2 linked regions of the Xenopus tropicalis genome follow. The main gene of each other region encodes a partner of the protein of the gene in region 2 in a complex. Links are inferred from orthologs where the notes say so. Each region holds a gene or a part of one and is shown on either strand. Other genes may lie near its edges.

Region 1 (4,986 bases), on a different chromosome or scaffold from region 2:
GGAAACTGCTGAACAAAACCCTAAATATCTGAAAAACCATAAAAATGAATACATTTAAAACAAATTGCAAATTGTCTCAGAATATCATTATCTATGTCATACTAAAAGTTCTGCTAAATCCTGAAAGTACATATTGCTGTCCCATTAAACTCCTCCCTTAAGCTGGACGTAAAGAATTAGAAATGGGTGAGAAACCAGTTATTCAGAAAACTTTTCCCATAAAGTTATTTTTTTTTTAATGATTTCCTTTGTCTCTGTAATTGATGCTAATTAAACTATCCTTGTGTTTATATTATGTTTATTTTCTGTAGTAGCCTTAAGGTGTTCTAAATTATGGAAAACAAAATGTCACTAACATTCTGGATAACAGATCCTAAACCTTTACTATAATTATTATAAATATATATATATATATATACACACACAACAGATAATGAACAGACTGTTTTGTACAGGGATTCGAAGTATCTATAGAGTCTTACCATGCCATCCAGGTACTTGTTATGGTCATCAGCCTCTTTGTCAATGTCCAGTGCAAGCTGTAAAAAAAAAAAAAAAAGGAACAGATTGTGATATCCGAGTGATTATGCAGGAACAGAGCCCAGGCAAAAGAGGCAGAAGTGCCCTGTACTTTATGCATACAGTAGGAATTGTTAGAGAGGCAGAAGTGCCCTGTACTTTATGCATACAGTAGGAATTGTTAGAGAGGCAGAAGTGCCCTGTACTTTATGCATATAGTAGGAATTGTTAGAGAGGCAGAAGTGCCCTGTACTTTATGCATACAGTAGGAATTGTTAGAGAGGCAGAAGTGCCCTGTACTTTATGCATACAGTAGGAATTGTTAGAGAGGCAGAAGTGCCCTGTACTTTATGCATATAGTAGGAATTGTTAGAGAGGCAAAAGAGAAAGGCGCTGTGAATAGAGGCCTACACATCAGTTATTTATTCCTGTAGAATATCTACCACTCCTACTTACTGATTTCAGCCTGGTCACCTTCGAAGAAAGATTTTCTGACAGCCGTTTGTTCTCTGCATCCAACATCTCATCCACTGCTCCTGAATTTGGCCCTGTAAAAAAAACAAAGAGCAACTGAATGGCAGGTTTTTCTTTTTTGGAAGGGGAAGGGACAGTGGTGCCGGCCCAACAACGCGGGGAAGGGACAGTGGTGCCGGCCCAACAACGCGGGGAAGGGACAGTGGTGCCGGCCCAACAACGCGGGGAAGGGACAGTGGTGCCGGCCCAACAACGCGGGGAAGGGACAGTGGTGCCGGCCCAACAACGCGGGGAAGGGACAGTGGTGCCGGCCCAACAACGCGGGGAAGGGACAGTGGTGCCGGCCCAACAACGCGGGGAAGGGACAGTGGTGCCGGCCCAACAACGCGGGGAAGGGACAGTGGTGCCGGCCCAACAACGCGGGGAAGGGACAGTGGTGCCGGCCCTGAATCACGAGAGTGGAAACTAGAATGAGACTGTCAGGATGTAAGAAGGGATTTCCAGGATGCCCGACTGCTGTCTCACCTAATGCACAAACACATCCCCAGACTAAAGTCCTCATGTGTGACGTGCATTTAACATAATCAATAAAGCCAATTTCAATATATATCAATATATATCTGGCCATGGCAAGGCAGATCCTAGTGCGATATGGCCATAGTCACATATGGGCAGAGTTTCTCTGGGCCTTTTTGCAATATACATTCATTTCAGAAACCCCAGGGTTAAAAGAAACTACAAATGCATAGACAGTCAGGGCCACAGTCTTTTCGGGCATTCAAAGAGAGCTGATGAGCCGAGGTCTTCCTGGCAGCACGTATCTGCTACTGACTCACAAACCATTAAAACTAGAAAATCAATGCACACTGCAAAAGTGCTCAGAGACTGCTAAGTTTATAGCAATTCCCCTTCAAGGAGCCGACTATAACGCACTAAGAAAGTAACCTGGAGCCCTATGAAACCCTCCCCCACCCCTATTATGTCTGAAATTATTACAACAGCCCCTCAGATATCAACAAGAGAAGAGAGAGGCACCCAAATGTGTGCTTATTATAATATTATTATTATAAGTACAGGAAATCATTGCTTATGGTGCCGTACCCACGCACAACACTAATACACTTCCCCAGCCCAGTAACGAGCAGAGAGATCTCCAACTCCCCTCACACTGGGGACTGCTGGTACAGACTGCAACACTATACAGACTGGTACAGACTGCAACACTATACAGACTGGTACAGACTGCAACACTATACAGACTGGTACAGACTGCAACACTATACAGACTGGTACAGACTGCAACACTATACAGACTGCAACACTATACAGACTGGTACAGACTGCAACACTATACAGACTGGTACAGACTGCAACACTATACAGACTGGTACAGACTGCAACACTATACAGACTGGTACAGACTGCAACACTATACAGACTGGTACAGCAACTGGCAACACCTATACAGACTGGTACAGACTGCAACACTATACAGAACTGGTACAGACTGCAACACTATACAGACTGGTACAGACTGCAACACTATACAGACTGGTACAGACTGCAACACTATACAGACTGGTACTGGTAAGACTGCAACACTATACAGACTGGTACAGACTGCAACACTATACAGACTGGTACAGACTGCAACACTATACAGACTGGTACAGACTGCAACACTATACAGACTGGTACAGACTGCAACACTATACAGACTGGTACAGACTGCAACACTATACAGACTGGTACGACTGCAACACTATACAGACTGGTACAGACTGCAACACTATACAGACTGGTACAGACTGCAACACTATACAGACTGGTACAGACTGCAACACTATACAGACTGGTACAGACTGCAACACTATACAGACTGGTACAGACTGCAACACTATACTAGAGACCCCCACGACTCTCTAATGACTCCTAGAACAGTCTCAGTCTACACAGAGTAGAACCCCCGCACCCTGAACACTGTGTAGTACAGAGTATACAGCACATTCCCATACTGACCTTCCCTAACAGAGAAATCACCCACCAAAGGCCTTCAGAGTACTTCCCCATACAGCCCCCATGGAGACCACCCCTAGCATAGAGCCCCACCCAGGACAGAGTACCGCCCCCAAACATTAATTCCAGCATAGATTCCCTCTCAGTTCCTTTGCTTTACGCTTAATATCCCAGAGCGAATCCCACGCAAACACCTTCTCTGTTTGCCAGGCCGCTGCCCCCACTCTCTCGGCATTCAGGGAGCACTGATATCCTACATAACACACGTATTTATCTCACACAAGCACCCTAGACCCCAGTACCTCTGCCCCAGTCCGCCATCTTGGATTCTTCTAAATGTGACGCGGCAGGATATTACACGTCACTAACGTCACCCTCACAGCCACCAATACGCTTCAACCTTGCGTCAGTGCGTCAAGAAAGGACGGACTGTCTCATTAAGCCACGCCTATTAATGTTTAGGCGTTCGCTGTTGCCATGGAAGCAGTTTATCCGAATTATCCTAATATAAAAAAAATAAAGTGAAACGTGCACTCCTTTTGCTTCTCCTACTTTGTGTGTTGTGGCTAGCTCCGCCCCACATGGCGAATCTCTTGGGGGATCTTGGGATTTGTGGTCCAACAAAAACAGTGGAAGCAGATTACACATTACAGCTCAATACTCCCCCCACATATTCTCCAATTTGGAGCCTCTCTCAATGTAGTTTGTGACAAAAAAGGCTTCCAGTGCTTTAAGGAATGGCGACACCAAAAAATGAAAATTATTTCAAGTAATTAAAATATAATGTACTGTTTCCCTGCACTAGTAAAAGTTCTTTTACTTCATAAACCCTACTCTAGTTTATATATACAAAGCTGCTGTGTAGCCCTGGGGTTATGGTTGCCACCTGTCTGGTAAAAATGATGCTTAGTGCCAATGTTATTATTAGAAAAAAAAGATAAAAATATAGGAAGGCCGGTATTTATTTTCAGAAAAGGTGGCAAAAAAAAAAGAGGACAAAAGACAAAAAACTGATAAGCTCTCTAGAATACAATGGGAAACTACACTGCTTATCTATTATCAGCTGTGTAACCTGTGTCAATTAGGGCTCTTGCACACGGGGAGATCAGTCGCCCGCGACAAAACTCCCTGTTCGCGGGCGACTAATCTCCCCGAGTTGCCATGAGCGAACATGTGAACATGTAAGTCGCCGGCGGGATGGCACACGCGGCGGCGCGATTTCACGAAATCGCCGAAAAAGACTCGCGAGGTGACTAATCTCCCCGTGTGCCAGAGCCCTTAGCCTTATTTCAGTTTGATACAGCTTTGTTTATATAAAATATAGTTGAGATTCTAATGCAAACACAACTTACCAGTGCAGGGCAATGGTACAAAATATAGTGACTACTGTGATACATACATTTTTTTGGTGTTACTGTTCTTTAAAGTATGTCTTAGTGCTGGTGTTGGAAATCAGGGCGATTAGTCACCGTGACTAATGTGACTACTGTGGCTATAACAATGCTGACTTGTCCCATACAGCAAATTCCACAGGCGGCGACCTGTATGTTCATGTATGGAAATATCCATTATGTCGATTAGTTTCGGTGATTGTGTTTTTAATTGTCCTGTCTGTCTTTTACCTTAGATACCAACATGCAGTCTAATCTCATACCATGTACCGCCTGAAGATGGCCATACACGGGCCGATACTAGCTGCCGATATCGGTCCCTTAGACCGTTTCAGCAGCTCATCGGCCCATGTTGGGGCAATAACGACGGGCCTGCCTGACCGATACCTGGCCTGAAATCGGGCAGATATCGATCGGGCAGTTTAAAAAATTTAGTCGGATCGGGGACCGCATAAGGGCTAAGATTGGCTATTAGGTAGCCTCTATGCACACTATCAGCTTACAGGGGGCTTTATTTGGTACTAAATATTGTTTTAATTCAATCAAAACTTGCCACCAAGTCAGGAATTCAAAAATAACTACCTGG
Region 2 (4,929 bases):
TCACTAAAAAGTCATAATCATAAAATGCACTATGTTTGCCCAGGATCAGTAACTCATAGCAACCAATCAGCAGGTAGATGCACTGGTCAGCTGTTTAAAAGCAAACATCTTATTGGTTGCTATAGGTTACTGCTACAGGAAAAAAGTTGTGCCTTTTAATACATATGTGGGTATGAACACTGTTATAGGAATAGTTCAGTGTAAAAATTAAACTGGGAAAAATAGACTGTGCAAAATATAAAATATTTCCAATATAATTAGGCAAAAATGTAATCTATAAAGGCTGGAGTAAGCATATGTCTAACATAATAGCCAGAACCTGACTTCCTGCTTTCAGCTGTCTAACCTCTTAGTTAGTCAGTGACTTTAGGGGGGCCCACATAGGACATAACTGTTCAGTTAGTTTGTGAGCAGGCAGGTCAGATTCAAATGCAAATTAACTGAACAGTTATGTCCTATATGGCCCACTCAGGTCACTGATTGGTTATTGATTGCTAACAGCTTAGAGCTGTTCTGGCTATTATGTTAGACATCTGCCCACTCCATTTTCATTTTTACACTGAACTGTTCCTTTAAGATAGTCACAAGGAAAATTATAGACTAACCAGGCAATTATTTTAAACAAAGGAGCACCGGGGGAAGAGGAAAAGGTAAAGTACTGCATGGCAGGGCAGAAGCGATAAGAGGTGGGTTGGGAACCATACAAAATAACCCCAACATTATTTAATTTACTTGTGCCAAGAATAACTTTCTTCAGTTTTAGAATAATACAGCAGTGAATCATCAAGCAGCATTTACTTTTCTGGTCTTTAAAATTAATTATCTGATTGGTTACTAGGGGTATTTTTGTAATGAAAAAATGCAGAAAGTTGGCCAGTCATGTTTGTGCCCAGATGTGCAGCTTTCAGCCCCAGAAACATCCCTCTCAAAAGGGAGTAAAATAGATGATAGGTTCGGGACAGGTAATATTCTGAGCCCCAGATGTTGCAGAAAAACAACCACCAAAATTCTGTCCTCCCTTATCTGAACCACTGGTGGGAGCTGAGGGTTGTAACTATAGATCACTGAAGTACCATGGGCTCATGCAAAGCCTCCTATAGTTCTCCTTTCCACAGCCACATACTGCTGCCCTTACTGTACTGTACCCTTTCCACTCATACCCCGAAATATCTATTATTTTTATTATTAACAAGCATTTATAAAGCTCCAACATATTCTGTGTTTATGTACAGCAAAAAAGGGTCTCTAATGTCATTCAGCAGGAAACCCCATAGTCCAGTCTAAGCCTGTTTACATTTGAAGTTGACTGTTCACTTGCTTTAAGGGTGAAGACACACAGAGCTACTTAGTAGCAGCTAATTGTCACAGCTACTAAACGCCAGAAAATACCCTGACATAGACAATACTGAGAATTACCTCTGCCACATAGAGACAATTAACAGTAAATGATCAGCATTGTCTATTTCTGTAGCCGTGACAAGTAGCTGCTACTAGTAGCTCAGTGTGTCTTCACCCTAACACCCCTTTGAACTGAGCAGAACGTTTCTTATTGTGTGCGTTTTCCCAAAAGCACCTCTAGATGTCTCTGTGCCCCCTCATCGCTGTCCATACGAGCAAAGAAATTACCTCTCCATACAGCAGATGGCGCAAAGGTTTATTTTTGTCTTAGTCAGAGTCATCGGTGCATGGTATTTTGTCCCATTCCGCGCACCGTTGTTAAGCCTGTCGCGATGGCAGATTCGCAGGATGTCCACGTCCGAATTTGTCACCAGGAAATCGTTAAATATGACCTGGAGATCAAAGCGCTGATCCAGGTAACGCAGTGGGGTGCTGAAGGGGTGATCGCCATTAATAATACTGACTTTCTACATGCAGGAGGCAGTAGGGAATTCAGCTTACCATTAAGGGTCCGAGTTTGTAATATTCCCTATGCAACGCCACCTAGCGGCAGGCCGAGCTTACGTACCAGTTCCGAAGACTCCAAACTCAATGGTTTATGTTTGAATGCGGACTGGTGTAGCGTTACCGGCATGTACTGATAGTTCCCTACGGTCACAGCCTACTGTATGGTTTGGTTAACAGAGCCTGGCAGTTTTATTTTCCTAAATTATTACATGGGCTTCCTGCTACATGTTCCATGTACTGCACCCTAACAGTTATGTAGGTATAATACATTTAACTGGCTGATAACTGAAATAGCTATAATGCTTTCCCAGCTAATGAGCAGTGCTGCTATCAGTACTCATAGGCTCTATACTACTGAGTTAGCAGGGGGCCTCAAGTTTAACCCTCAAGTTTAACCCTTCTGTCATCTGGGCCATTATGAACCAGAATTAACACTGACATTAGTTGTTACCAGTGGCATAAAATAAGGTCAGGCTTCCAAGCAAAAGACTTTTCCGGGCCCTCACATGTTGGGGTGAGAGCCACTTACACCCTCGGCCACATAGTGACCACCACCTTCGCCTCCATGCTTGCAGAGCCAGAAGTAGCTGTAACCATACAGCAGGCCATCTGGATATCTGTATGCTAGTTAGCCAGTGAATGTTAGTATATCTTAACCAAAATGTCAAAATATCAGCACCCAGTAATCAAGTCTTTGTCACCAGTAATATCTTTGTATAGAATAACTTCCTAAAGCTGATACCTCAAGAGAACTGAATCCAAGTGATTTTGGTCACACTTATGGCACACCAAGCCTGGGATTCAAAATAGGCCCTGGCACTTCAAGTACACAATGTCCCAAACAGTGTCTGTCTATGGCTTCTTACAGCAGCCCCTCTGGCATTTGCCAGAATCCACAGATTGCCAATCTGGGCTTTTTGCACACCCAACCACAATTTATTATGCCTTGACTACACCCACTTACAACCCAACTTTATCCTTGGCTGGAGGCTGGTGGTTACTACCAGCATATTAACTGTCATTTTTTAATGACGTTTGCTAGGCATCTCATGTGCCACTATGTCATTTCAGTTTGGGAACAGCACAGCAGATGGTACTTTCTCATTGGATCCTTATCCCCCTAGCTCTTCTGTATTGTATGTAGACGTTTTAAAATGATTTGTCTTTTATAGGACATCAGAGAATGCCCTGGTCCTCTAAGCACCCTAAATGATTTCAATGCTCAAGTCAAGGAAAAATTCCACCTGCTGAGGCTGAGAATACAGGTACATTGTGTAATTTAGTAAAGACATTGCATTTTTGAGGGAAAAACTGGCTAGGTAATTAGAAATTCTTAACCACAAGAGAGGTTGATAATAAGTAATTGGGGCCTCTGCCCTATGATTAAACTATATTTTAAAACATTAAAAGTCCATTTACTGCCTATAACAGGGATCCCCAACCTTTTTTACCCGTGAGACACACTCAAATGTAAAAAGAATTGGCAACACAAGCATGAAAAATGTTCCTGGGGTGCCAAATAATGGCTATAATAGGCTATTTGGTAGCCCCTATGTGGACTGGCAGCCTACAGAGGCTTTGTTTGGCATTATATTGGGTTTTTATGCAACCCAAACTTGCTACCAAGCCAGGAATTTAAAAATAAGCCCTTGCTTTGAGGCCACTGGGAGCAACATCCAATTGTTTGGGGAGCAACATGTTGCTCATGAACCACTGTTTGGGAATCACTGGCCCATAATATTGGGAGCCCTCAAAGCAAAGCATATTATTCGCTCAGAGTTTTTTTCTAAGCACTTTTGCAAAGTACATTTTTTCTACTTTCTCAGTTATTAGAAGTTATTTGAAGTGCTGATTATTTTAGGCCAATGGGCTAAAAGTGGCTAAAAATGAATTTCCTGAGAAAAGAAACATTTTAAGGTGTTGCTCTCCCTAGAACTGATCACAGAAACACCAGAGACTCCACTTTCTAAGCAGAGCATCATTACAAAATGTTTCTTATCTCAGGCAATTCATTTTTAGCCAACAGTAGCCAGTCACAGTAGCCAGCCAGCTGAAATATCCAGCAGGTGGCGCTGTTGTTTCAAATATGTTATATTAGCCCAGTGATCCCCAACCAGTGGCTCGGGGGCAACATGTTGCTCCCCAACCCCTTGGATGTTGCTCTCAGTGCCCCCAAACCAGGTAGTTATTTTTGAATTCCTGACTTGGGGGCAAGTTTTGGTTGAATAAAAACAAGATTTCCTACCAAATAAAGCCCCTGTAAGCTGATAGACTGCATAGAGGCTCCCTAATAGCCAATCACAGCCCTTATTTGGCACCTCCGTTAACTTTTATGGTGCTTGTGTTGCTCTCCAAGTCTTTTTACATTCGACTGTGGCTCATGAGTAAGATAGGTTGGGGATCCCTGTATTAGCCATTTCAAAACAGCTAATCTCTTTAAAACTAAAATAAAAATAATTAAAAGTAGTTCTAAGAGTACTTTGCACAATTTTATAGTCATTTGTCTTGATGGATTACAGTACTTGTTTACTTGCTTGGATTTACAAAAAAAAAAAAACATTTTTGCATGAATCATTGCTCATCACCAAAAGTGATCACCTTTAAAGTCATCCAGGTAATAGTTTTCTAAACCTATAATTGGTGATATACTTCTTTGTTATTTTGGAAAAGGATTTTGAACAGTTGGCTAAGGAGCAGGATAAGGAATCTGACAAGCAAGCATTGCTGAAGGAGATGGAGTGCCACAAGAAACAGATGTTAAGGTGTGTATGGTCTGCTGCTTACATCTTGAGCTGTGCGAAAAATGGCCCCATAGCTTAATAAATAAATGTTATATAAAACAGGTGAAGAACTTTTCTTGCTTGCCTCTCAATATGTTTACAACACAAGGTTAATCAATATTGCTCTGTAGTTGTCCTACAAAGCTGTCCTGCAGTTGCTCATACATGTTTTGGCTGAGACATACTCTCTCTCTGCTTTCCCATTAGCCCACATGTTGCTGGGTGAATTCTAAGCTCCCCAAGG

Evidence for each region. The genes of interacting proteins can lie anywhere in the genome.
Region 1: bnip1 (region 2) and bet1l share a complex: the UniProt entries of both Homo sapiens proteins name them as parts of the SNARE complex. The link is inferred for Xenopus tropicalis from reciprocal best matches to the Homo sapiens genes BNIP1 and BET1L.

What each region holds. Positions count from the first base shown.
Region 1 is NC_030680.2:24,001,686-24,006,671, reverse strand, and holds the start of bet1l (BET1-like protein), read right to left. Parts: upstream 3,424-4,986; 5' UTR 3,331-3,423; coding exon 3,312-3,330; intron 3,075-3,311; exon of another isoform or gene 3,013-3,074; intron 1,068-3,012; coding exon 976-1,067; intron 540-975; coding exon 483-539; intron 1-482. UniProt on the Homo sapiens protein: Vesicle SNARE required for targeting and fusion of retrograde transport vesicles with the Golgi complex. Required for the integrity of the Golgi complex.
Region 2 is NC_030679.2:43,443,902-43,448,830, reverse strand, and holds the start of bnip1 (vesicle transport protein SEC20), read left to right. Parts: upstream 1-1,700; 5' UTR 1,701-1,730; coding exon 1,731-1,814; intron 1,815-1,893; exon of another isoform or gene 1,894-2,130; coding exon of another isoform or gene 2,131-2,160; intron 2,161-3,077; coding exon 3,078-3,170; intron 3,171-4,575; coding exon 4,576-4,667; intron 4,668-4,929. UniProt on the Homo sapiens protein: As part of a SNARE complex may be involved in endoplasmic reticulum membranes fusion and be required for the maintenance of endoplasmic reticulum organization. Also plays a role in apoptosis.